Linked DNA regions of Caenorhabditis elegans. The protein of the gene in region 1 purifies or fractionates together with the protein of each later gene. This does not show direct contact. Each region holds a gene or a part of one and is shown in the gene's direction. Other genes may lie near its edges. The genes, in order: cyp-13A12, ugt-62, dpm-1 and F59B1.8.

Region 1 (6,536 bases):
CATAAAAAAAATTCATTAAAAAGATTAATTAAAAAATTAAAAAAATAGAAACTTTAAAAAAATTGTTACAGTTATATTCGGCCATTACCGTCTATTTTCTGGCATTTAAAGCACAATTTTTCTTGACACACTTTTAAACAAACTAAAAAAAGTTGTAATCCTTTAACTAAAACTTTCAGATATTTCCAAGAATTCACAATGGACGTGATTGGACGCATAGCAATGGGACAACCAGACTCACTAATGTTCAAAAACCCATTACTACCTTGTGCTCGAGACGTTTTTGGCAAACCACGGACCGCTTTATTTCTATCTGGAATTTTATTCCCATGGATTGGTCCGATGATTCGAAAAGTTGTATTCTATTTCACAAATGTTTTTAATAATCCAGCAGCACAAATTATGTATCAAACTGCAAATGCGGTGGAGCAAAGGATTAAGCAAAGAATGGCTGAAGAGAAAGCTGGAATTGATCCAGGGGAGCCCCAAGATTTTATTGATTTGTTTTTGGACGCAAAATCGGATGACATGGAATTAGAGAATAATGAGGATTTTACAAAAGCCGGAGTGAAAGTCACTAGACAATTGACAAAAGATGAAGTTGTTGGACAGTGCTTTGTATTTTTAATTGCTGGATTCGATACAACAGCCTTATCACTATCATATTCTTCATTCCTCCTGGCAACTCACCCAAAAGCTCAGAAGAAATTACAAGAAGAAATTGATAGAGAATGTGCAGATCCAGAAGTTACATTCGATCAACTATCAAAGTTGAAGTATATGGAATGTGTTATAAAGGAGACGCTCAGAATGTATCCGCTGGGAGCTTTGTAAGTTTTAAATTCCAATAATTTTTTTTAGGCGCTCAAGCTTTTTTTCAGATGCTCAAGCTACTTTTTTAGATGCTCAAGCTATTTTTTTTAATGCTCAAGCTATTTTTTCTTGTATCTTGAAAATTAGTAATTTCCAGAGCAAATTCTCGCCGTTGTATGAGATCTACTAAAATTGGAAATTATGAAATTGAAAAAGGCGTCGACATTTTATGTGACACGTGGACACTTCACTATGACAAAAGTATTTGGGGAGAAGATGCTGAAGAGTTTAAGCCTGAAAGGTATGACTTTGAAGCTACTACTTATTAATTTAAAAATTTGTAAGATGGGAATCAGGAGACGAGCATTTCTATCAAAAAGGAGGATATATTCCATTTGGATTGGGACCTCGACAGTGTATCGGAATGAGATTGGCCTATATGGAGGAGAAGCTTCTTTTGTCACATATTCTCAGAAAGTATACATTGGAAGTTTGCAATAAGACCCAGATTCCGTTGAAGCTTATTGGTTCAAGAACTACACAACCGGAAAGTGTCTGGTTGAATTTGACGCCGAGGGATGATAATTGAATTACGGGTCTTTTGTACATATTAATTTTAGTATACTTTGTGAAATATTCTAAAATCTTTATCCTCCAAATTTTTTAGTATATAAAATGCTTCTTAAAAGTCTGTAGAACCAATTTTTAATTTTTTTTTAAACTGGGTTACAAAAATTTTTGTCTTAAGATAGAATGACTCAAACAAATTTCGATTTCAAAAATTAAAGCCAGCGTCTTTCAAAAAAGCAAATAGCGTCTCATTTACAATAACCAACACTGGAAGGAATACAGGAAGGGAGAGCACAACAGAGCAAGCGGGAAGACTGTAGGTCACACTAAACCGACAGAGGCCGCATAGATCAAACTGAAGATAAGACATATTGTGTGTAAAGGACCTCACAACAATTCTATAGAAATATGACTTCATCTACTGATTGGAAGTCCAAAATTTGCATCAGCAATCACAAAATTAATAATTCTGATCACAAATAGTCAGAAAAGAAGTCTCACTGAAACTCTACCCACAAACCAAAAAATTGATAGACAACTAGAAATTGGAGACTTAGACAGACCGGCAAATAACTTTTGTGACCAAATAGTGATTTGTGGGGAGTATGACGATAAGGTAGTAAACCAATAAGATGTATAAATAGGAAGAGAGTTTATTTGGTTTTGTAGACCATTCAAGTTTTGAGTTTAAAAAAATTGAAATGGCAATTATATTTCTTGCTATTTTAACTTCAATTATTGGAGTTTTAAGGTTAGTTATTGCAGTTTTTTGTATTTTAAAATTAAATCAAAACAAAAACTTTGCAGCTTTTACCTCTGGACATGGAGTTACTGGAAGCGTCGTGGAATAGCTGGACCATCTGGCTATCCAATTCTGGGAAGCGCTTTGGAAATGTTGAGCTCAGAAAATCCACCATATCTCCAACTGAAAGAGTGGACAAAGCAATATGGAAAGGTTTATGGAATAACTGAAGGACTCTCAAGAACACTAGTGATTTCGGATCCTGATTTGGTGCAGGAAGTGTTTGTGAAACAATATGACAATTTCTTTGGGAGAAAGCTGAATCCAATTCAAGGAGATCCGAATAAGGACAAGAGGGTCAACTTGTTCTCGTCTCAAGGTCATCGATGGAAGCGGCTGAGAACTATTTCGAGCCCAACTTTTTCTAATAATAGTTTGAGGTGAGTTTCTATACTTGATATTAGGCCCGAGTCTACAAAATGCAATTTTAAAAGTTTCCTAACTTTCAAAAAAAGTTACCAAAATGGATGTGTTATGAACTAAAAGATTTAGAAAAATATTTTTTTTAGTATTTGGATTTTTTAAATTTCAGTTGGAAAAACAGACGGATTAAATTTATATTTCGTTTAAAATCAGATTAAATTAATACTTTGATACGATTTGATTTTGAGGTATAATTTTTCAAAATTACATAAATTTGTACATAGAACAACTATTTTTCGTTTATCTGTACATATAGATAGAATTACACTCACTACCAAATAAATATCGTAGAGTACTAAAATGACCAAATAAAATAGTAAGACTTTTCAAAAAAACTTTTGATACTTTTTTATTGACTGTCATAATTTTGAAAGTCTGCAAAAATACATTTAAATTGTTTGTATTTAATTATTATAGGTGTTTCCACCTGTAACAATGATCGAGATTAATACAAAACCCATGATTGAAAAATTTTGAAATTATGTATATTTTTTCGGGCGCTTTCGACTATAATAAATGTATCTAAAGTCCAAACTCCCACTGAACTATTTTTGAATAAATGTATGAATTTTCAAAAAAAAAAAGCCCATTAGCTTGGAATGCCAGTGTTTCATTAAAAATTAATCTATATATAGACTATAGTCAGCGTTTTTTTTTTTAATTTTCAGAAAACTGAAAACAACCGTCGAAGAATGCGCCGTGGAACTATTGAGACACATCGAGCAACACACTGATGGCGGGCAACCAATTGATTTATTGGAGTAAGTATCAAAAATAGAACTGATTTTATACAATGTTGGGCATTTTCAGTTTCTATCAAGAATTCACTCTCGACGTAATTGGACGTATTGCAATGGGACAAACCGATTCTCAAATGTTCAAAAACCCGTTGCTCCCATATGTCAGGGCAGTATTTGGAGAACCACGAAAAGGGCTTTTCCTCTCCGGATCACTTGCTCCATGGATTGGACCGATTCTCCGAATGGTTATGTTTTCATTGCCGAATATAGTGAAGAATCCAGCGGTACACGTGATTCGTCATACTTCAAATGCAGTGGAACAAAGGGTTAAACTGAGAATGGCCGATGAGAAAGCTGGAATTGATCCAGGAGAGCCCCAAGATTTTATCGATTTGTTTTTGGACGCAAAATCGGATGACGTAGAATTAGAGAATAATGAGGATTTTACAAAAGCCGGAGTGAAAGTCACTAGACAATTGACGACTGAGGAAATTGTTGGGCAGTGCTTTGTATTTTTAATTGCTGGATTCGATACAACAGCCTTATCACTATCATATTCTTCATTCCTCCTGGCAACTCACCCAAAGGTTCAGAAGAAATTACAAGAAGAAATTGATAGAGAATGTGCAGATCCAGAAGTTACATTCGATCAACTATCAAAGTTGAAGTATATGGAATGTGTTATAAAGGAGACGCTCAGAATGTATCCGCTGGGAGCTTTGTAAGTTTGAAATTCCAATAATTAGGGTTTGAAAAACTAATTTAACTAACTTTTATAGAGCAAATTCTCGATGTTGTATGAGAGCTACTAAAATTGGAAATTACGAAATCGATGAAGGCACAAATATTCTTTGCGACACATGGACACTTCATTCGGATAAGAGTATTTGGGGAGAGGATGCTGAAGAGTTTAAGCCTGAAAGGTAGGTCTAATTTAGGATAGTGCCAGGGTACCGTAGCAATACTTGGGGGATGCTATAGGATTTCTGTAGTTTAGAAAAAAACACATTTTGTTTTTTGATAGAATAGTGACTTGGGGGTACTGTAGGAGAACTATAGGATTACTGTAATTCTGGAATAAAAACAAGGTTTTGGTCTTTCAAAGAGATTAATATTTTGCAGTTTGAGAATAAATGTTTGGATGAAAAGAGAATGTAAAATCCAGGAAAAAACACAGTTTTGCTCAAACTCACTACTACTACCCTCTGCTAGAGCATATTAGAATCAGGGGTGCGCAGCAATTGCCGTTCGGCAATCGAATTTTCGGCAATTTCGGCAATTGCAAAAATTGCCCATTGCCGCGCAGCCCTGTGCTGGGGTACTGTAGAACTACTGTAGTTTTGAAAAAAACACACACTTTTTGTCGTTTGAATGAATAGTGACTTGAGGTACTGTAGTGGTATTGTAGGAGTACTGTAGGATTACTGTAGTTTTTGAAGAAAAATTGAATTTTGAAGATTTAGTGGCTTGAAGGAAAACTCTATACGAAGGCCAGCTTTGAACTTTTTGAGATAATTCATGGGAAAATTAAATTCAAATATCTTCTAATTCCGTTTTGCAACAAAATGCTTCACGAAAGAAGATTATAACTTTCTGAAAATTACTTCTTGAAATTCTGAAATTTCTAGTCGATATGAGGATGTTTAGAACATTTTCTAAAAATTAATAATAAAATTGGCTCTAAAATTGTTTTTCATAAATAAACTGCAAAATCAAAATAAAAAACCATATAATCATAAACTTGAATTGTTCACTAATTCTTATGTACCAATGTTTTAAAAAAAGTAATTTTAGATGGGAATCAGGAGATGAGCATTTCTATCAAAAAGGAGGATATATTCCATTTGGATTGGGACCTCGACAGTGTATCGGAATGAGATTGGCCTATATGGAGGAGAAGCTTCTTTTGTCACATATTCTCAGAAAGTATACATTGGAAGTTTGCAATAAGACCCAGATTCCGTTGAAGCTTATTGGTTCAAGAACTACACAACCGGAAAGTGTCTGGTTGAATTTGACGCCGAGGGATGATAATTGAATTATTATGGGTCATTTTTGATATTGTAAATGTTTATAATTGATATCCAAATCCAATATATTGGATATAAATTATTTGTTCTCATGACAGTCTTAATTTATAGAAAAAACGGGAAAAAAAATTTCAAAATGGCAAATCAGCAAACCGGCAATTTTACTTGTCAAACGGCAATTGCCGCCCACCCTGTTTCGGCAAACGACAAATCGGCAAATCGGCAAACCGGCAAGTCGGCAAATTGCCGGAATTGAAAATCCGGCAAGTCGGCAGTTTGCCGAAAGCCTCTTGAAAGTCTTGATTTCAAATATACATTTCTGTTCAAAAATTACAATTTTTATAGATTTAGAATCTTACAAATCTTCATTATGGAAACATTTTTCCTAGGCATGTAGGCAAAAATGCCTAGCCGCCTTTAATGTGGCTTACGCTTGCCTGACAAAATGACGCGCGCCGCTGGAAATCTTTATCGTACGAATAAAATACAAAACTAGTAGATCTCTTATTTCCAAATCTCAATTTTCCGTGTTTTTCTCAGCAACCGGCTTCACCGCAAATGATTGTCTTCTCATTTCCTGATTCTCAGCCATTAGCTTCATCACATGCTTCTTGACATCATCTGAATCCATTGAGCCTCCATCTTCCAGCCATTTCTGCACCTGACACGTCGACTCATCCGGCTCCACGAGCAAATCCAACGTTCTCGCGTCTTGCCAATTGCTCTCGTCTTCTTCGTCGCCGGTAGCTTCTTGTCTGAAAATTTCAATATTTCCTGGGACAAGCTACCAATATCCTTACCCCATCATAAATGCATCGGCAACTTCCGTCACAAAATCCACTCTCCGTTTCATTTTTCCCAAGTTTTTAATAGTCTTTCTGGTGTCCTCATCTTCAGATTCAAATCCAACGTGCATAGCAGTGCCGACTTTATTTTTCACCGAGATGACACTTTCAGACGACTTGCTTTTTCCGATTTTCTGGAAAAAAAAAATTTTCTTCAAAAAATTGATCCAATTTACAAACTGATCATTTGAAATTAGTGCCAAAATATAGAAAATCACTTGATTTTTCTAAAAAAATTACATTTATTTCAGCTGAAACATCTGAGAAAATGCTGCATTTTCTCAGATGTTTCAGCTGAAATAAATGTGCTTTT
Region 2 (6,299 bases), 8.5 Mb from region 1:
TTGAGCCGATTGAGTTATCCGCATTCTGTAAAACTGATAACATTCACACATAACTGAGTTAATGAGTACGAGTGATCATTATAGAAGTGAAATACAATTTAAAAGCAATGTTTGATGAATTTTTAAAAATAACATTTTCTTTAAAACTGTTTTGCACCGAAAATTGTGGCATTTTTGTCATTAATTACATGAAAAAACTGTCTAAAGTTTTATTTAGTTTGGGAAAATGAAATTAAAACATCTAAACACATGCTTAAAATAATTTTAAAGTTGAAAATCTGAATAAATAAAAGGAAGAATATTTCAAGGGGCGGGGCTAAAACGGCTGCACTGCGCCTCATTGCAAGCACGCCGCGCATTTTTTCTATTCTTTTTCTTCTCTTCGAGCATTTAATTTGTTTCTCTAATTTTTTCCTTTTCTTCAAGATTCACAGTCAATTTTAAAAGTTTCAGATAAAAATGTCTTCAAACTTAATCAGATTTGTTGGAAATCATGATATTGCATCGGAAGGAAAGTTTTTGTTCGAGATTCTCTCACAACTCCGCAACGTATGTTATTCTGCTGTTTTCCCCCTTGATTCAATTGTTTTTTTTTCAGTTTGGTGTCGGTCGTCTTGTTACAAAGAATGAATGGACACGGAAATGGCCGAATAATCCGTCATATATGAAGATTTTGAGGGCATTCTTGATTTTTAGCATGAACAAAGATCACTGAAACTTTTCAGGCAGAGCCAGGCATGGACCGATGGTTATTCGAAGGAAAAGTTTATGCTGAATGGGTCTTTCGTGGAAAAAATCTTGGCGTTTATGAGTTTTCAAAGGATTTGAACAGAAGTGACTGGCAGCTGGTACACAAGTAAGCAATTCTTAATTGAGGATTCGAAATTTTCGTTTATTTTCAGACATCAAGAAAAATCATATACATCGAGCACAACACCAATGCAAGATCTTGTTCTTCCCGATTCGTTTCCATTGCCACCACTTCAAGTTCATTTGTCACAGAAAAGTGCTCGCAAAAATGGTTTGGATGAGAAAACTGTGTCAAGACGGGCTCCGCTCACACTTAGTGTCGATCCAGAGTTCCAGCACTTGAAGCCGTTCATCAAACAGGTGGGATTAACTATGTATATGCTGAAATAAAAAACTCCGAAACTCACAAAATTTTATTTTTCAATTTTCAACCATTTCAGGAAGCTCCTTCAACAAAAAGCGTGTCGATCTACGAGGAAGTTGATAAGAATGCACTTTTGGATCTTTACGGAAACGAATTGCCAGTTAAAGTTGAAGCTTGGAATGCAGGACCAGCAATGTTCCAACCACGATTTAATGCCACAACGATGAGAGTTGAAGAGCAACCACCGAAATGATTCTCTTTCAATTTAATTTTTTTTAAATTTAAGTTTTCGATTGTAGCAGTTGTTTTTAGACTTTGTTTTCTTTTTGTTCTGTTTCGTTAGAGTTTTAAAATTAAACTATCATGAACCAAGTCACATTGTTCCAAGACTACAGTGAAGTGAAATTTGTGATAGTTAAAAAAAATGTTAATGATTAATTCAAAAATACAAAAATGTATAAAATATAGATCACAACTTAAAGAGAACGCATTCGTTATAACAGTATGAGTTGAACAAGTTGAATCATTAACAGAAACGAACCAAACATCAGTGGCGAATTTGCGTAAATAAACTCAGGTTTGAATACAGTACTTACTGTGACTAAATAAGTTGCAACAGCGGAGGGAAAATATTACTGACGTTGTGAAAAAGAGAGTTGTGAAAAATGAATACTCATAGTCAGTCCAGAAATCTAATGGTACAACTATGTTTTTTGGTGGCTTTAACTTTAAAAATTGAAATTGCGCGTGGAATTCGGTGCATTTGGAAAATTTGTGCACCCACCGTAACACAATGCATCAGATTTCCTGCGCAACTTTATTCAAGATTATTTGATTATTACACTCCACTAAATATTTAAGATGATATTTCACAATAATTTTTACGTTTTGGATGCACAAACAACACAATGATGTAAAACAGATTGTGATAAGATAAGAGCCTATTTAGAATCAGTACTTTTTTTTCAGAAAAGCACCAAACCATAACTTCCTACAAACCACATTTCTGATTTATAAATTAGCATTGTCTATAATTCTCTACGGCTCTCTTTTTTAGTCTAGTTGTCTCTAGGAAACTTGGGTTTGTGATTGACTATCAGAAATGATGCAAATAAAAGAGTATTTAAACAACGATGTATGGACAAAGTTTTCTCAATTTCTGTTTCAGAAATGAAATTGATTGCTCTTTTTCTTCTACTGCTTGGAGCAGTTTCCGCGTACAAATATGCGGTTTTTGTACCATATATGGCTAATAGTCAGGTGAGCTGAGAAACTTTAATCGAGAAATATTTCATACTATGTGGAGCATTTGTTAAGTCTAGGTCAAATTTATAGTAGTCAAAGTTCTTTGGTACATAAATTGGAAAAATTTTCTTTTCCCTTTGATTGAAATCGTCACAGACATAAAACCAAAAAAAACGATCAAACTTTTCACATTCATATTTGGTTATATATAACTATAATGATAGTTACCAAAAAAGTTCGATGCTTCTCCATATTAAACAGTTTAAAATGGAGAAAATGTGCTACTGACTGAAATTTAAAACAAAACAGTTAAAACGTTCGTATAATTTTAATAAACTTTCTAAATTATTGCATTTCAGGTCCAATTCTGTACTCGTGTGGCCGAAGTTCTTGCCAATGGAGGACATGACGTCACAATGATTCATCTTTCTCATTTGCCAGATTACAAAACTGATGTGAAGATTCCGAAGAATATAAAGGGTTCGCTTTTTGAATTCTAAATTTCTTTTAAGCTTTTTAATTTTTAGTCCATCGTGTGGAGGCATATGTCGAGGGACTTACCAAAGCTCTCCTTGAAAAAGAGCAATCTGCATTTATTTTCAAAGATACCGGACTGAAGGATATGCCAGCTATGATGTCAATGTTCAGTAGATTCGGAAAAATGTTCCAAGATGGATGTAGGAATATTGTGCGAAACAAGGAGTTTATGAAATGGCTGGAAAATGAAAAGTTTGATGTGGCCTACTCATATATCTATTCTTCATGTCCAATTGGACTAATCCATGCTGCAAAGATTCCATCTTGGGTATGGTTGAACAGTGGAGCACTGATGGATTTTGTGGCTGAAACAGTCGGTGTACCAATTATTCCAAGTTATGTACCTCCATTAATGATGGAGTCCGATGATGAAATGGGCTTCTTCTTCAGAATGAAAAGTTTTATCGGACATACATTGATGACAGTTTTGCACAGAAGGTTAGTTCGAAGAAAATCATTACTTATATACAAAAAATACAGTTCGAAATATAGTTTTAAAAATACAGATAATGAGAGCTCTTGAAATTTGAAACAAGTCCCCGAAGAAACATTTTCAAAAAATTTCATTTAAGGCAGATATTAATGTTTAAAGTTATGAAAATTAAATAAATAACCTAATAAAAAAATGTGGTCATTTATATGCCTGTAGGTCAGTTTTTTTTGATTAAACTGGAAACTTCTGGTACCTAGAAAAATTTTGTAATTAAATTCAGAAAGCTCATAAAATGTGAAAAAATCTGGAAAGTGCTAGAATTTGCTAAAAAAGATCTGGAAAGGTCTAGAATTTTTAAAAGAATTTCCAAGTCTTAGAATTCTCTTGAAAGTCCGCAAAACTCCAGGAAAATGTGTAACTGTAGAAAAATGTTACCTACATTAGCACTTTAAAATGTATTAAAACAATTTAGCGTGCGCCAGTCGGAGCACGCGTTTTGCGCGTGCTCCGGTAAATAAATAAAAAATATGGGAACTTGAAATTGGGGAGTTTTAGATAGTTATTATACGTCATAAATTTCAAAACCCTACTTTTTGAGTAGATTTTAGAAAATTCCTTATTTTTAAATTGTCATTAACTTTTTTTAAAGGCTTGTTTTTGATAATTAAAAAAAAATTCATTCTGCATTCCTACGATATTCCTAAAACTTCAAGTTTTTGTATTTTCAGAATGACCTCAAACGGAGAAACTCAAATTTTCCGTGATGAACTGAATGATCCAAACTTCCCACATACAATGGATCTTGGAGCAAAATGTCCATTGGTGAGTTTTTAGTTAATCTATTTTTTAATCACAAAAACGTTCAGGTAATTGTTAATAGCAACGAACTTTACGATCTTCCTCGTCCGACATTGGCAAAGGTCGTGAATATTGGAGGATTAGGAGTTGGATTTGACAGTGCCAAACCATTGACTGGGGTTAGTTGTAGTTATTGGAATGTACCTGAAACTATTTTATTTCAGGAGTTCAAAAAAATCTCGGAGACCGGAAAAGGAATGATTGTATTCTCATTTGGATCCGTTGCAGCAGCTCATGATATGCCATTAGAATGGAAGAATTCAATTCTCGAAGCATTCTCCTCACTTCCAGATTATCAATTTTTAATGAGATATGTGGCTGATGATTTGAATGATAGATTGCCAAAGAATGTTCATTTATTCAAATGGCTTCCACAGAAAGATCTATTGTTGCATAATAAGACTAAAGCATTCATTACTCACGGAGGTTATAATTCTATGCAGGTATTCATTTTATATTATTTGAGAAACGTTGAAGTTAGAGTGGAGAGAATTTAGCTATTTGATATTTGATTGAAAATCACTTTTTTTTGAACTGAAAAGCATTTTTGAGAATTTTTCTGATATTTTTTCTCGGTAGAGCCTAAATGGTTCAAAACTTTAGATAGGGCAAAGTTACTCGGTTTCTAAATGCAACTTTCAAATTTCCATAAAAATAAGAATCCATTGTTCCAGGAGGCAATTTCTGCTGGAGTTCCACTGGTCACTATTGCACTATTTGGTGATCAACCCAAAAATTCCAAAGTTGCAAAAAAACATGGATTTGCTGTAAACATTCAAAAAGGCGAAATTTCAAAGAAAACGATTGTAAAAGCAATTATGGAAATTGTGGAGAATGACAGGTTTGTTATTTTATTACACAACATTTCTAACTGTTGAAATTGTATCTAGCTCGGGAATGTCGGGAACCATGTTTTGTCAGAATAGCCATGGTTGAGCAAAGTTGTGACAAATTGAATGTTTTGGGCCGCTGCTCAGTTAATTCAATTTTTTTCGCGTTAGTATGAGTCGTAATCGAAAAAGAACTTTTTTTACTATCAAAACTTGAAAAATTTTGCAGTTACAAACAAAAAGTGAGTCGACTATCTGCAATGGTTCGTGCTCAACCAATGAAACCAGCTGAACGACTTCTAAAATGGTCAGAATTCCTTGCCGAATTCAAAACTCTTGATAATTTGGAGCCAGCTGGTCAAAAGCTTAACTTCTTCCAATATCATTCACTTGATGTAATTACATTCCTTTTCATTGTTATTTTCATTGTATTTTATATTGGATACCGTTTCATGAGAGCTGTAATCAGGTGTTGTTTCTGTAAAAAGTGTGAAACAAAAACTAAAAAGGATTAGGTTTTTGGAGATTTTATAAATTATTTTAATTTGTTTTTTTTGTTTTTTTTAATTTTATTTTATAATCTTTCGGGTTGAATAAATGATTAAAAAAACAATTTTTGATTTTAATTTGCTATGCATACAGAGGTAGGCTGGCTAAATGAGGAGAGATGGGTTGCGGGCGAAGCCAGGCTTGAGACTCGTGTGGTTACTGTACCTTTTAAGTTAAACTGTGCTAATAATATTTCAGTTCGCTGTGAAAATTAAGTTTCGAATTTCCATGTTTTGTTTAGAAAAATATGAAAACTTGTGTGAAATTATTGATATTTTCTTCAAAACTAAAAATCCAGATTTTTATACCAATTTACTAAGTTCTGCTAAAAAACTTTAACACAGTGAATTATTATTGAATAATTTATTATGAACAGCAGAAAAAGACACGAATAGAAAAAATGTTTGAAATACAAAGCTATGTGAACAAATGTTTGAGTCGTGAAGGGTTGTAGATACACGTAACAAGTTGACCCATAAAATCGGGTGGATTTTCCAGCAATAAAGTGAACAAATTGAGGTTTTGGTTGTTGCAAAGGTTTTGTGAGGTTTTTGGAGAAACTTAATACATATCGGTAATAACACGGGGGAGAAAATGAATGAAAGAATTATGGGAAGAGAAAGGGAAAAAAGCACCTTGATTTTGAGAAATTGTGAATTAAAGAAATACTGAAGGTTATTAAGAGATGTGAATGTTGACTTCTTCGTCTATATCATCAAAAGTCTGTGAATCT
Region 3 (5,883 bases), on another chromosome or scaffold:
TAAAAGAATTAAAAAAAGTAAAATCAAGAATTGTAGTGTTTTGTATGCTGAGCATTTCTTCGGCTAAAAGTTTTTTGATATCTATGCTCACGAGAGAGCTATGCTCTTTTGGAAAACGTACAAGTTAAATTCCTTGATATAACCTCGCTAGCTGTTATAGATCATAACTCAGTAACCAGTGACGGAATCAAAAAACGCTAAACTAATGAAATGTTCAAAATTGTTCAAATATTATTTTCATAATTGACTGCTTCCTGTTTTATTTCTTATTCGCAAAGTTACGCACGTTTAAATAATATTTATCGTGATTTCTGGTATATTGAACTACAAAAATTAAAATTGTTATTGAAAATCTTATTGAACAATCCATTTTTCATTCAATTTTAATATTTTTTTCAAACGTAAATTAGCAAGAATTTGAAGCTTTGTTCAAAATCTTCCGTTTTTCGCCGCTTTTCACGTTTTGAGCGAAAGAGCGTGCGCAAGTGAGAGGTGAAAGATGACGAGAGCGACTTGCTTGCGCGTTTCACCCGCAGGAGGCCGTGTATAAACTTTATATATACTATAAAGTTTGTTTACCGTTTCGAATCAGTTCCTTTATCTTTTTCAATAATTTCTCGCATTTTTCTCATTTCTTATTTTAATTTTATTTGCATTTGCCGCGTAAGTGACACGAAAAGTGAGCGCCGCAAACGCGCTCCGCTGAGAATTTGTTTGTGCACTCCTCTCGAATAAGTCAAAAATACACGTCTTTATTAAAACTTATTGATTTTTCAGTGTATTCCTGTGATTTTTCTTGAATTTCTAAATGTTTTTGCAGATGAACACTCAAATTTCCATGCGAAACTTGCTAACAAGCTGCTCAAAAGCCATCACAGCAGGTTAGTAAAGGAAAAAGGTCGAAAAATATCATTTGAAGGTTATTTTCAAAAAAAAAACGTGGCAGAACATTTTTCGTACAACATTTTTCATGTGAAAATTGCAATTACTATTATTTCCATTCATTTCTCCTCAAAATCAGACTTTTTATAAACCATTTCCCCCTTCCTCTCCCTAAATCAAAATCACTATTCCCGCGTGAATTTCACATTTTCAGAGAGAAATAATGCGTGGAGAGCAAGTTTGGGAAAAATCAGCCGTCGAGACTACTTGCATCGGTACCAAGTTAAATTTATCCGTCCGGATGGTTCGACAATCATGGTTCCCGCCGCTGAACCGAGACAGGTTGCTTTTTGAAAAATACATATTTAATTGCAGTTTTTATATTTAATCAGTTTTTTAATTGTACATATTTTCAGACATTCCAATCTGCCGTCGACCTCAAACAGTTGAGCGAGGATGAACGACGACAACGGCTGGCTGCTCGTAAACCAAAAGCCAAGATCACAAAAACAGTAATTATATAATTAACGATTTCAAATTAAAAATGGTTTTTTCAGGAAGTTATCGATGACACCTTCGATGAGTCGGAGTATATGAAGTTTTGGTCGGCACCCGGGCAGAAATCCACGAAAAAATAAGAAAAATCTCGTTATTAGCATGTAGTATTTCTTTTTTTTTGTTAGATTTTTTGTTTTCGTTATATTTACTATGAATATCGACTTTATTCTCGATCTGATTAATATTGATTTGTGCGTTTAGTCGCAATTTTATATCAATTATCTCTATTTCACTAGGGAACCCCGTAACAGCTTGGTGGATAGGAAACCAAGAAGTTTGTGGAGGAAAATCGAGTTTCCGGTCGAAATTAGCTTGAAAATACTAATATGCTAAAAACCTCTAAAAACCTCATTTTTCAGCGATAAACGCCGAATTTTCAGCCATTTTCCGAGAAAAACGCGAATTTTCGGGTAAAAAACCCGATCTCAGAACGAATTTGACTTCAAAAATGGAAAAATGCGATAAGAAGCGTGAAGTTTCACTGAAAACTCTTAATTTCAACGTTTTTTACTCAAAAAATCGTATTTCTGGCTCAAAAACAGTGAAATTTATCATTTTTTTTCTGTGAAAAAATCGATTGGGGGGACCAATAAAAGGTACATTTTTGTGACCCACTGACCGAAAATGTACTTTAATCAAAGAATAAGCGCGTAGTAAAGGACCATAATATTTATTAAAGATTGATAATTGAATAAAAATTTAGTTCCAGACGGTGTCACACCGAGAAGGTGGAAAAATGTGATTTTAGCTGAAAATGAGCTTTTTCTAAAACTTTGACCCATAACTTTTTTTTGAGAAAATTTCAAAACTTCTCATTACGAAATTCGGTAGTTTTGAATCATTTGGTTCTAAAAAGCAAAGTCTTAGATTTCGGTACTCCAACTTTAATTTTCAGTGACACTAGTGTTTTTAAGACTTTGAGACCGATTAATTTTGTTTTGATTTCGAGTAGCCAGTATTTAACACAAGCTTCCGATTGGTATACTTTTTGTTTCTCTTATTCACCAAGTTTTTACAGGGATCCCTAGTCAGATTATTCAAAAGGAATTTTATGTTTCAGATTATTATGACATCCACTCCGAAATATTCGATAATTCTGCCAACCTACAACGAAAAAGAAAATTTGCCGATTTGCATTTGGTTAATTGAAAATTATCTGAAAGAAGTTTCACATGAAGTGATTATCGTTGACGATGCATCACCAGACGGTACTCAAGGCATTGCAAAACTTCTTCAAAAGGAGTACGGAGACGATAAGATTCTGATCAAGCCACGAGTTGGAAAACTTGGACTTGGTACAGCCTATTCACATGGATTATCGTTTGCACGTGGAGAATTTATCATTCTTATGGACGCAGATCTTTCTCATCATCCAAAATTCATTCCGGAAATGATTGCGCTTCAACATAAGTATAAGGTATACATTATTCGTACATTTTTTCTAAAAATTGTTAAAAAAACAGAACTTTTTTAAATTTCAAAATTTATAGGTGTACAAATGTTATTTTAGTTAAATAATAGTTAATTTGATGAAAGTTTTCCAATTTGAGAAAAATATGGCAAGAACTTATTATGCAACGTTAAGCATTTAAAATTTATATAGAAATGTAGAACACAGCATGTTCTATCTGAAAATAACATATATTTCTGTTAAAAAATTGAAAAAAGTCCTCAAATAGTACCTGAAAATTGTCGTTTGACGAAAAGGTGCCGTTAAAAGTTTTTTCGGCAAACTGTAACTTTCAGGCACAGTTGGATCAGGGGTGTGCTGATAATATCCGATTCACTATCAGCCGAATTTCTGCCAGTTTAGCTAATTTAAACTTTAAGTTATCCGGTAGCCGATGTTGGCCGATCTTAGCCCAATTTCCCGGTCTGCTAATTTCACTAACACATTTTTTTTTGGAAAAAATGTTGGGGTTTTATATGATTTTTTCTATTTGAACAGTCGTTCATCACTGAATTTGCTAAAAAATAGTGAACATCACCGCAACTTTTTTCGAACGAGGGCCGAGAAAAAATGCGAAAAATCGGTGTTTGCACACAAAACACCGCATTTTACGACATTTTGTACTTGCTTTGTTTTCTCTTGTTTTTCACCAATTTTTCCCGTGTTTTCTTATCAAAACTGATAAATAAATTTTTTTGCTAATGCTAAAATAATTTCCAGATGAAAAAATATGTATTCAGTCGGCAAGTAGCGGTGAAAGTCGTCAATGTAATATGATGGATTACGGGAATACAAAACCCAAACTTTTTCCCAAACATGATACATATGCTGCTCTGATGCTGAAACTACCTGATTTTCATAACGAGACCGCTGAAAAAGTTTTGAGGTTTTCAAAATTCAACTTTTTGTGCGAAAATCTCTACTTTTTCACCAAAAAAGTTGAATTTTGAAAGCCTCAAAACTTTTTCAGTGGTCTCGTTATGAAAATCAGGTAGTTTCAGCATCAGAGCAGCATATGTATCATGTGTGGGAAAAAGTTTGGGTTTTGTGTTCCCGTAATCCATCATATTACATTGACCACTTTCACCGTTACTTACAGACTCAATACACAATTTTTTCACTTGGAAATTGTTTTAGCATCTGCAAAAAATATTTATTTATTAGTATTAATAAGAAAAAATGGGGAAAATTGGTGAAAAACGAAAGAAAACACGCGGAAAACAAAGCAACATAAATGGCCGCTGAAACTTGTCGGGGACTCGGCCATGGCCTAGAAACCTTTTTGCCTCGTCCCTCGTTCGAAAAAAGTTGTAGTGAATAGCCGTTAGCCGGCTTCAAAAAAGTCGGCATTAGCCGATCTATCTGTTAGCCGAAAAAGTCGGTTATCCGCACACCCCTGATTATCATGTTGAAATGCGCCAGTTTTGTGCGTTTGCCGAAAATAATGTCTCACCTAATATCAAGTTTCCGATAATAGAGGACATAATATTACATTTAAAAAACCATCACATTTATATCAACACAATGCCTTTTTTAAGCATAAAAATACAATTTTTTTATTTATTTTTCAGCTCGACATCGTGACAGGAACACGCTACAAGGACGGAGGTGGTGTTAGTGGATGGGATTTGAAGAGGAAGACGATCAGCAAGGGAGCCAATTTTTTGGCTCAGTTTCTGCTGAATCCAGGTGTATCTGATTTAACAGGATCATTTCGTCTTTATAAGAGAGATATTCTGTCGAAGTTGATTGCTGAAAGTGTAAGCAAAGGATACGTTTTTCAGGTGAATATAGGTTTAAATTTTGAAAAATAAAGATATTTCTGCAACTCGTGCACACCATTTACCAAAAACCGGAGCCAATGAAAAAAGGTTTTTATTGATCAAGAAACAGAAATGCAATCAAAACTTAAGCTTATTCTGAGGCTCTTCGAAAATTCAAAGTTAAATATATATAAAGAAGATTTTTTAATAACAAAATACTGTGAAAAAGATTTTTTAATGTTTTTAAAATCCGAATTGCAGATGGAAATGATGTTTCGAGCGAAAAAATCGGGTTATCGTATTGGGGAGGTACCAATCTCATTCGTCGATCGATTCTTTGGAGAATCAAAGCTCGGAAGTCAGGAAATCGTGGATTACGCAAAAGGACTTCTCTATCTGTTTGCATTTGTTTGGTAGATTCTGTGATATAATTTGTATTCATTTTACTATTTTTAATTTAAATTTTAAGAATTAAAATTTCTGAGAGTTTTATAGCCAGAGCGCTTCATTGTACGTTTTCCAAATTTTTTTATTATGACCTTGGGGATTCCTATTTATATTGTTTCCAAACATTCTTGTTTAAATTATATTTTTTCTTCGAATAAATCGTTATAATATTTTTTAAGATGCCAACAAAATTGGAAACAATTTGTGCACAAATGTTCTGGTTGGCTAAGTGTCAAGTTGCCGAATAATTAAAGCTCGGCAAATGCCGAAAAATAGAAGAAATATGTATCCAATTTTCAAAAAGAGATTAAAATTTTCAGATTATCCAGTGTTGGGAGTTAAAAATGTTATATTTTTGTACCAATATCTCGGCAAATCGGTCCAGTTTTCCAGGGCGCTTTCAACGTCTTTCAACGACTACCCCCGAGCTGTGAATTGTGCCCTGGAAAGCTGGCGATGAGCGGCAAACTCCAGAAAAAAAAGTGGGTGTGTGTGCCGCACACTGCCGTACTCTGTTGCACATTTCTGTGCATTTCTGAGTCACTATTTTTGGTGAACGGCCAGAGTCACTATATTTGGTGAACGGCCCAAATATAGTGACTCTGGCCGTTCACCAAGAACAGTGACTGTCTCGGTAGACGTATGCGCACATTCCGCGCACCTTCCGCGCACATTCTGCGCACATTGGTTTTTGTGTGTTTTTCATCCAGAAATCATGCATTCTGCGCACATTCCACGCACATTGCCTTTGGTGTGGCCATTTTCCACACCGCTAGCCCTTTG
Region 4 (5,185 bases), on another chromosome or scaffold:
CGTTAAAGCGATTTTCGATATCAGAATATGCTATGTATGAAACATGAAGTGGCTTGTAGTTTGAAGTTTGTAGTTTGTAGTTTGTAGTTTGTAGTTTGTAGTTTGTAGTTTGTAGTTTGTAGTTGTTTGCAGTTTGTAGATAGTAATCCGTGCCGAGTGTTTTTTATAATTTCAAATCGTTTCTGTTACAGCGATTTCCGATATCAGAGTTAATATGCTATGTATGAAACATGGAGTAGCTTGTAGTTTGTAGTTTGTAGCTTGTAGATTTTAGTTTGTAGTTTGTAGTTTGTAGTTTGTAGTTTGTAGTTTGCAGTTTGTAGATAGTATTTGGTGCCGAGTGTTTTTTATGATTTCAAATCGTTTCTGTTACAGCGATTTTCGATATCAGAGTTAATATGTGATTTGTAAAACATTGAACAGCTTGTAGCCTGTAGTTTGTAGTTTGTAGTTTGTAGTTTGCAGTTTGTAGGTTGTAGTCGGTATCGAGTGTATTAATAATTTCGAATCATTTCTGTTGAAGCAATTTTCGATATCAGAGTTAATATGCGCATGTGTGAAACATGAAGTAGTATGCAGTTTTTAGTTTTTAGTTTGTAGTTTGTAGTTTTTGTAGTTTGTAGTTTTTGTAGTTTGTAGTTTTTGTAGTTTGTAGTTTGTAGTGTTTCAAAGATCAAGCGTGATATTTTCCAGGAATTAAACAAAACGTGTTGTGTCACGGAGATTTATGGGCTGCCAACTTTCTGTGGACCGAAAATAATGGAGTTTTCTGTGCCACCAGAATTGTGGACTATCAGGTATATTTATTTGACAACTATAAATATTTTCCACTAAAACCTGCACATTTTCAGATGTCCCATCTAGGAAATCCAGCAGAAGACCTGGTGCGTCTCCTGGTCTCAACAATTACCGGAGCCGATCGTCAAGCCCATTGGCAGCAGATTTTGGAGCAATTTTATTCGTATTTTTTGAATGAACTTGGCTCGGGTGAAGCTCCGTACACTTTGGAGCAGGTTAGTTTTTGAGAGCAATTTTTTTATTGAAAATAAATTTTTTTCAGCTGAAGCTCTCTTTCAAGCTCTATTTTCCAGTTGGAGCATTGGCTCTTCTTCCATTGTTTGGGCCGGCTGTGGACGCGAAATTGGAGGGGATGGATTCTGAAAAAGCTGAAAAATGTCGTCACGTAGTTATTGAAAAAGTTGCATGTCTACTGGATGACCTGGAAAAGTACCATAAATTTTCCAAAAGATATTTTCAAGAAAAATAGTTTCGTCTATTTTTTTCGAAAATATTTTGTTGCGAACTGCAAATAAAATCTGTGAAATAAATAATTTATTTATTGTTTTCTTCTTGTTTTATTCAATTAAAAAAATTTAATTCATTTTCGAAAAAAATTGCCCAATTTGCCTTTTGTTTTTACAATACCAGATTTTTTTAAAAATTGGTTCCATTTTTTTTTAATTTTGAAATGTATAGAAAACGTATTTTATAGCGTTCATTTATTGCACAACAGTTTGTAGATCAAACTATCAATCACACATTTTCCACCCGCCGTCTCGTTAAAATGACGTCACTCACACACACAAGGCGGGAGGGAAAGAGAGAGGGTGTCACAAAACACAGTGACTACACAATGGGGTCACAAAGTGTGGCGGTTATATAAATAGTGCGTTCGTTTTTTTTTTGAATTCAAGTGTTTCCGTTTTTGTCCTGTCAAATGTGTTATTTCCATTGATTTCTTACACAATTTATTTCCAAGAATTTTTTAAGTTTGTCTTTTTATTATAGCTTAATAAAAGTTTTTATTTTTAAAAATCTATTAAAATAATTTTCAGCTAAAAATGTCTACAAAACCATTGTCAATTTTGCAGCCAGGTACTGGATTATTCAATACCCATGTGACTTTAGAAGATGTGAATAAAGCTATCAAAGAGCAAATGAGCACTGAAAGTGAGCTCACGGCGGAGAGCAAAATGGAGGTTATTGGGGAGGGTAATGTAAGTTTTTTATTCAATTTTTTTAAACAAAAAAACATGTTTTTTTTTTCAACTTGAAAACTGGATTTTTATATGAATTTGTAAAATAGAAATATTATAGTTTTCAATTTTTCGATTTTCCGGAAAATAAAAAAAATTGAAAACAAAAAGTTTCAAAAAATTACCATAAACCATAAAATTTAATTTTTAATCAGCTTTTGCTTTTTTAAATTTTTTTTTGTTAAAGACGAAAATAAACCAAAATGTTAAGATGTTTTTCGGAATATTTGGAAAAGAAATAAAAAAATCTTTGGACGACAGCAAGTTTTCAAAAAAAAAATCAGTTTGCGACCCAATATGAAAAATATGTACCTTCTTGTTATAAAAATTTTAAAATTGAACGCAAATAGCGCCAACCAATCAGTGATATAAGCCACGCCCTTTGCTTATCACTGATTGGTCAGCGACTTTTGCGCAGTGTTTTTGTGCTCTAGCTAGTTTTTATTTGGGGAGATAATGAGAGATAAGCAGTAAAAAAATCAAGCTTCCCATTTTTCAGGGCTTCTCCTCTTGCGTGATCCTAATCACCTGTCACTGGACCATTCCCTCGTCCCATCTTCCCAAGAAGCTAATTCTGAAAATCGTTTCATTCGTTCATGTGCAGGGCCTTCTGAATAAGTCCAATGAAGAAGGGAATTCAGTAATGTCGCCGGAAGAAGAAGCCCATGTGCATGCACATTTCGAGAAGTCCTGTCAAAAAGGGCATAACTTGGAAGTAGAGTTCTGCGAAGCTTTCGGACATTTGGAGGGGCTTCTCCTTCCCAAAGTATTCTTCTCGCAGAAATTCGAGGAGGACAACCCGAATAAGGGATTTGTTGGAATGGAGTTCGTTGAAGGTTCAGTCGTCCGGCACTGTTATGAAAATGTTACTGTAGATGAGCTCCAGCCAATTTTGAAGGCTCTTGCAAGGCTCCAGGCGTTGAGTTTGAGCACCGAAAGCTGCAGAAATTTAGATAATGGAGAAGCCTTTGAAGAGAGTTTAATGGATATGTTGTCCGAAGATGGCCTGAAAGGGATTTTCGATCAAAGCCGGAATATTGACCAGAAATTGAGTGAAAAAGTTGAACGGATTGAGCAGAACCACAAGGAGATTCTGAATTTGGAGACTGTTCTCAATTTGAATAAAGTTGTAGGTAAGAGTGAATTTTTAAAAAATTTCCAAATGTAATTTTTACCGTAGCTTTGAAAATGTTAAAAAAACATTTCGATTTTCTTTTTTGAAAACCATAATTTTTTTACAAACACTGCAACTTGTGATCAAATTTTCTCCTCTTATTTATGTACATTTCTAAAGATTTTGAAAGAAAAAGGTCTCGCAACGAAAATATATCCCATGTTGAAAATAGTTTCTCGCGGCGAAAATTGGATCTTGCCACAATAAAGGATCTCGCCAAAAGTTGAAAAATAAATTACCCGCTATCACCCTCCGTGGTATTTTTTTGTAGGTTGCAAGTTGTAGTTTGTAGTTTGTGGTCTGTAGTTTGTAGTTTGTAGTTTTTACATTGTAGTTCTTTTTTGTTATGTTTCAGAGGTCTAACTTTATATTTTCAGGAATCGACCAAAAAGTTATCTGCCATGGAGATTTATGGGCTGCCAATATTTTGTGGACCCAGACGGATGGAGGTTTTATTGCCGACAAAGTTTTGGATTATCAGGTAGAAAAAATTGATTTAATGTCGAAAATGTTCAAAAAAATGAATTTTTTAGGAATCTCACATGGGAAATCCAGCTGAAGATTTGGTGCGTCTCCTCGTCTCAACTATTTCCGGAGCCGACCGTCAATCTCACTGGGAGCACATTTTGGAGCAATTTTACACTTATTTCACGGACGAGATAGGCTCCAACAATGCTCCATACACTCTTGAACAGGTAATTTTTTGAACCATTTTTTTGGAAATTAAAAATTCTAAAACTGAAAATTTTTCAGCTCAAGACCTCTTTCAAACTGTATTTCCCAGTTGGAGCATTGACACTGATCTCCTTGTTCGGGCCGGCTGTTGACATGAAATTGCAGGGAATGGAGTCTGGAAAAGCTGAAAATTACAGACGGATTGTCATCGAAAAAGTGGATTGTCTGTTGGATGATGTGCTCAATTTTCATGATTTCAACAAGAAGTTCACTGGAAAAAATTAAAAATTTTTGCTTGATATAGTCATTTACTATATATAAAGCGCTTATTCCGTTTGTCCATAGTTTGTAGTCTATGTAGTCTTTGTATTCTGCGAAGTTTTAGCTTCTGGAGGGATAGTGAGTTGGGGTTAGTGTAGGGATATAGTCGGGGTACTGTAGTGGTACAATGGTGGTACGGTAGGAGTACTGTATGATTACGGTAGTTTCAGAAAAATTGGTTTTCAGCTCCAGAAGTCGGGGGCCGCGCTGGAGGTGCGGTCCACGGCTGGTTGGAAAATAAATTGATTCATGTAACTTGAGGAATTCTATGCATTTGTCAATTTTCTGGAATTAGATAAAAGCGTAATTTAGGCTAACTTGGCTTAGGCCTAGGCTTGGGCTTATGCTCAGGCTCAGACTTAGGTTTAGGCTCAGGCTCAGGCTTAGGCTTAGGCAAGCCAGAATTTTCTGAAAATCGGAAAAATATAAATTAAGAACAAAATCTTCAATATTATTAAACCTAACAATGAAACTATAAACATTTAAAAATGCATTTGCCTGAAAAATTTGGTCAAATTCGGAAACTGGATGAAAATTTATAAAAAGGCCGGAAACGACGTTGAATATTAGCGGAATTGGCATAAAAAATTTCCTTGGAGCCAATTTTTTTTAAATTTTTTAAATTTAGAGAAATAATCTAAAATTTATTTTCCTAAAAAAGAAGGTGTTCTATTTAAAGAAATTTTCTAACTAGCGAAATTATGGAAAATATGGCTATTCGCCAAAAAATCAAAAATTACTTTATTCATTTTTTTCTGTGAATAGAGAACATATGTCTGGAACATCATTTGACAAGAAATGCAAAAACAAGTTGTGCACAACAACTTGCCAGTCCCTAACGATGCTCATTTCCGATTACTTTGGATTTTTGAAAATATTTATATTTTTTAGTGAATTACTGCTATGCTATTCTGAACAATGTGTTGTAATAATTCAATAAATAAGTATTTTAAATTAAAAAAAATAACTATTATTATAT

The links.
Region 2: the proteins of cyp-13A12 (region 1) and ugt-62 fractionate together in Caenorhabditis elegans (co-fractionation; one large-scale study listed by BioGRID). This does not show direct contact.
Region 3: the proteins of cyp-13A12 (region 1) and dpm-1 fractionate together in Caenorhabditis elegans (co-fractionation; one large-scale study listed by BioGRID). This does not show direct contact.
Region 4: the proteins of cyp-13A12 (region 1) and F59B1.8 fractionate together in Caenorhabditis elegans (co-fractionation; one large-scale study listed by BioGRID). This does not show direct contact.

Annotation. Positions count from the first base shown.
Region 1 is NC_003281.10:13,022,548-13,029,083, forward strand, and holds cyp-13A12 (Cytochrome P450), read left to right. Parts: upstream 1-1,999; 5' UTR 2,000-2,084; coding exon 2,085-2,134; intron 2,135-2,190; coding exon 2,191-2,565; intron 2,566-3,276; coding exon 3,277-3,369; intron 3,370-3,418; coding exon 3,419-4,069; intron 4,070-4,127; coding exon 4,128-4,271; intron 4,272-5,142; coding exon 5,143-5,386; 3' UTR 5,387-5,470; downstream 5,471-6,536. Other genes in the region: cyp-13A11 (Cytochrome P450), read left to right, coding at 180-830, 971-1,114, 1,159-1,402; F14F7.4 (uncharacterized protein), read right to left, coding at 5,896-6,133, 6,179-6,357.
Region 2 is NC_003281.10:4,536,607-4,542,905, reverse strand, and holds ugt-62 (UDP-glucuronosyltransferase), read left to right. Parts: upstream 1-2,282; 5' UTR 2,283-2,284; coding exon 2,285-2,374; intron 2,375-2,718; coding exon 2,719-2,839; intron 2,840-2,886; coding exon 2,887-3,334; intron 3,335-4,057; coding exon 4,058-4,151; intron 4,152-4,195; coding exon 4,196-4,306; intron 4,307-4,351; coding exon 4,352-4,630; intron 4,631-4,861; coding exon 4,862-5,028; intron 5,029-5,246; coding exon 5,247-5,532; 3' UTR 5,533-5,625; downstream 5,626-6,299. Other genes in the region: cisd-3.1 (Iron-binding zinc finger CDGSH type domain-containing protein), read right to left, coding at 1-24; mrps-34 (Mitochondrial Ribosomal Protein, Small), read left to right, coding at 460-549, 599-679, 726-856, 903-1,110, 1,191-1,367.
Region 3 is NC_003282.8:443,177-449,059, forward strand, and holds dpm-1 (Dolichol-phosphate mannosyltransferase subunit 1), read left to right. Parts: upstream 1-2,500; 5' UTR 2,501-2,506; coding exon 2,507-2,857; intron 2,858-4,461; coding exon 4,462-4,674; intron 4,675-4,914; coding exon 4,915-5,070; 3' UTR 5,071-5,273; downstream 5,274-5,883. Other genes in the region: mrpl-55 (39S ribosomal protein L55, mitochondrial), read left to right, coding at 809-881, 1,097-1,224, 1,299-1,394, 1,440-1,520.
Region 4 is NC_003283.11:3,640,894-3,646,078, reverse strand, and holds F59B1.8 (CHK kinase-like domain-containing protein), read left to right. Parts: upstream 1-1,835; 5' UTR 1,836-1,841; coding exon 1,842-1,997; intron 1,998-2,535; coding exon 2,536-3,169; intron 3,170-3,587; coding exon 3,588-3,691; intron 3,692-3,743; coding exon 3,744-3,905; intron 3,906-3,963; coding exon 3,964-4,170; 3' UTR 4,171-4,221; downstream 4,222-5,185. Other genes in the region: F59B1.10 (CHK kinase-like domain-containing protein), read left to right, coding at 694-797, 852-1,013, 1,061-1,267.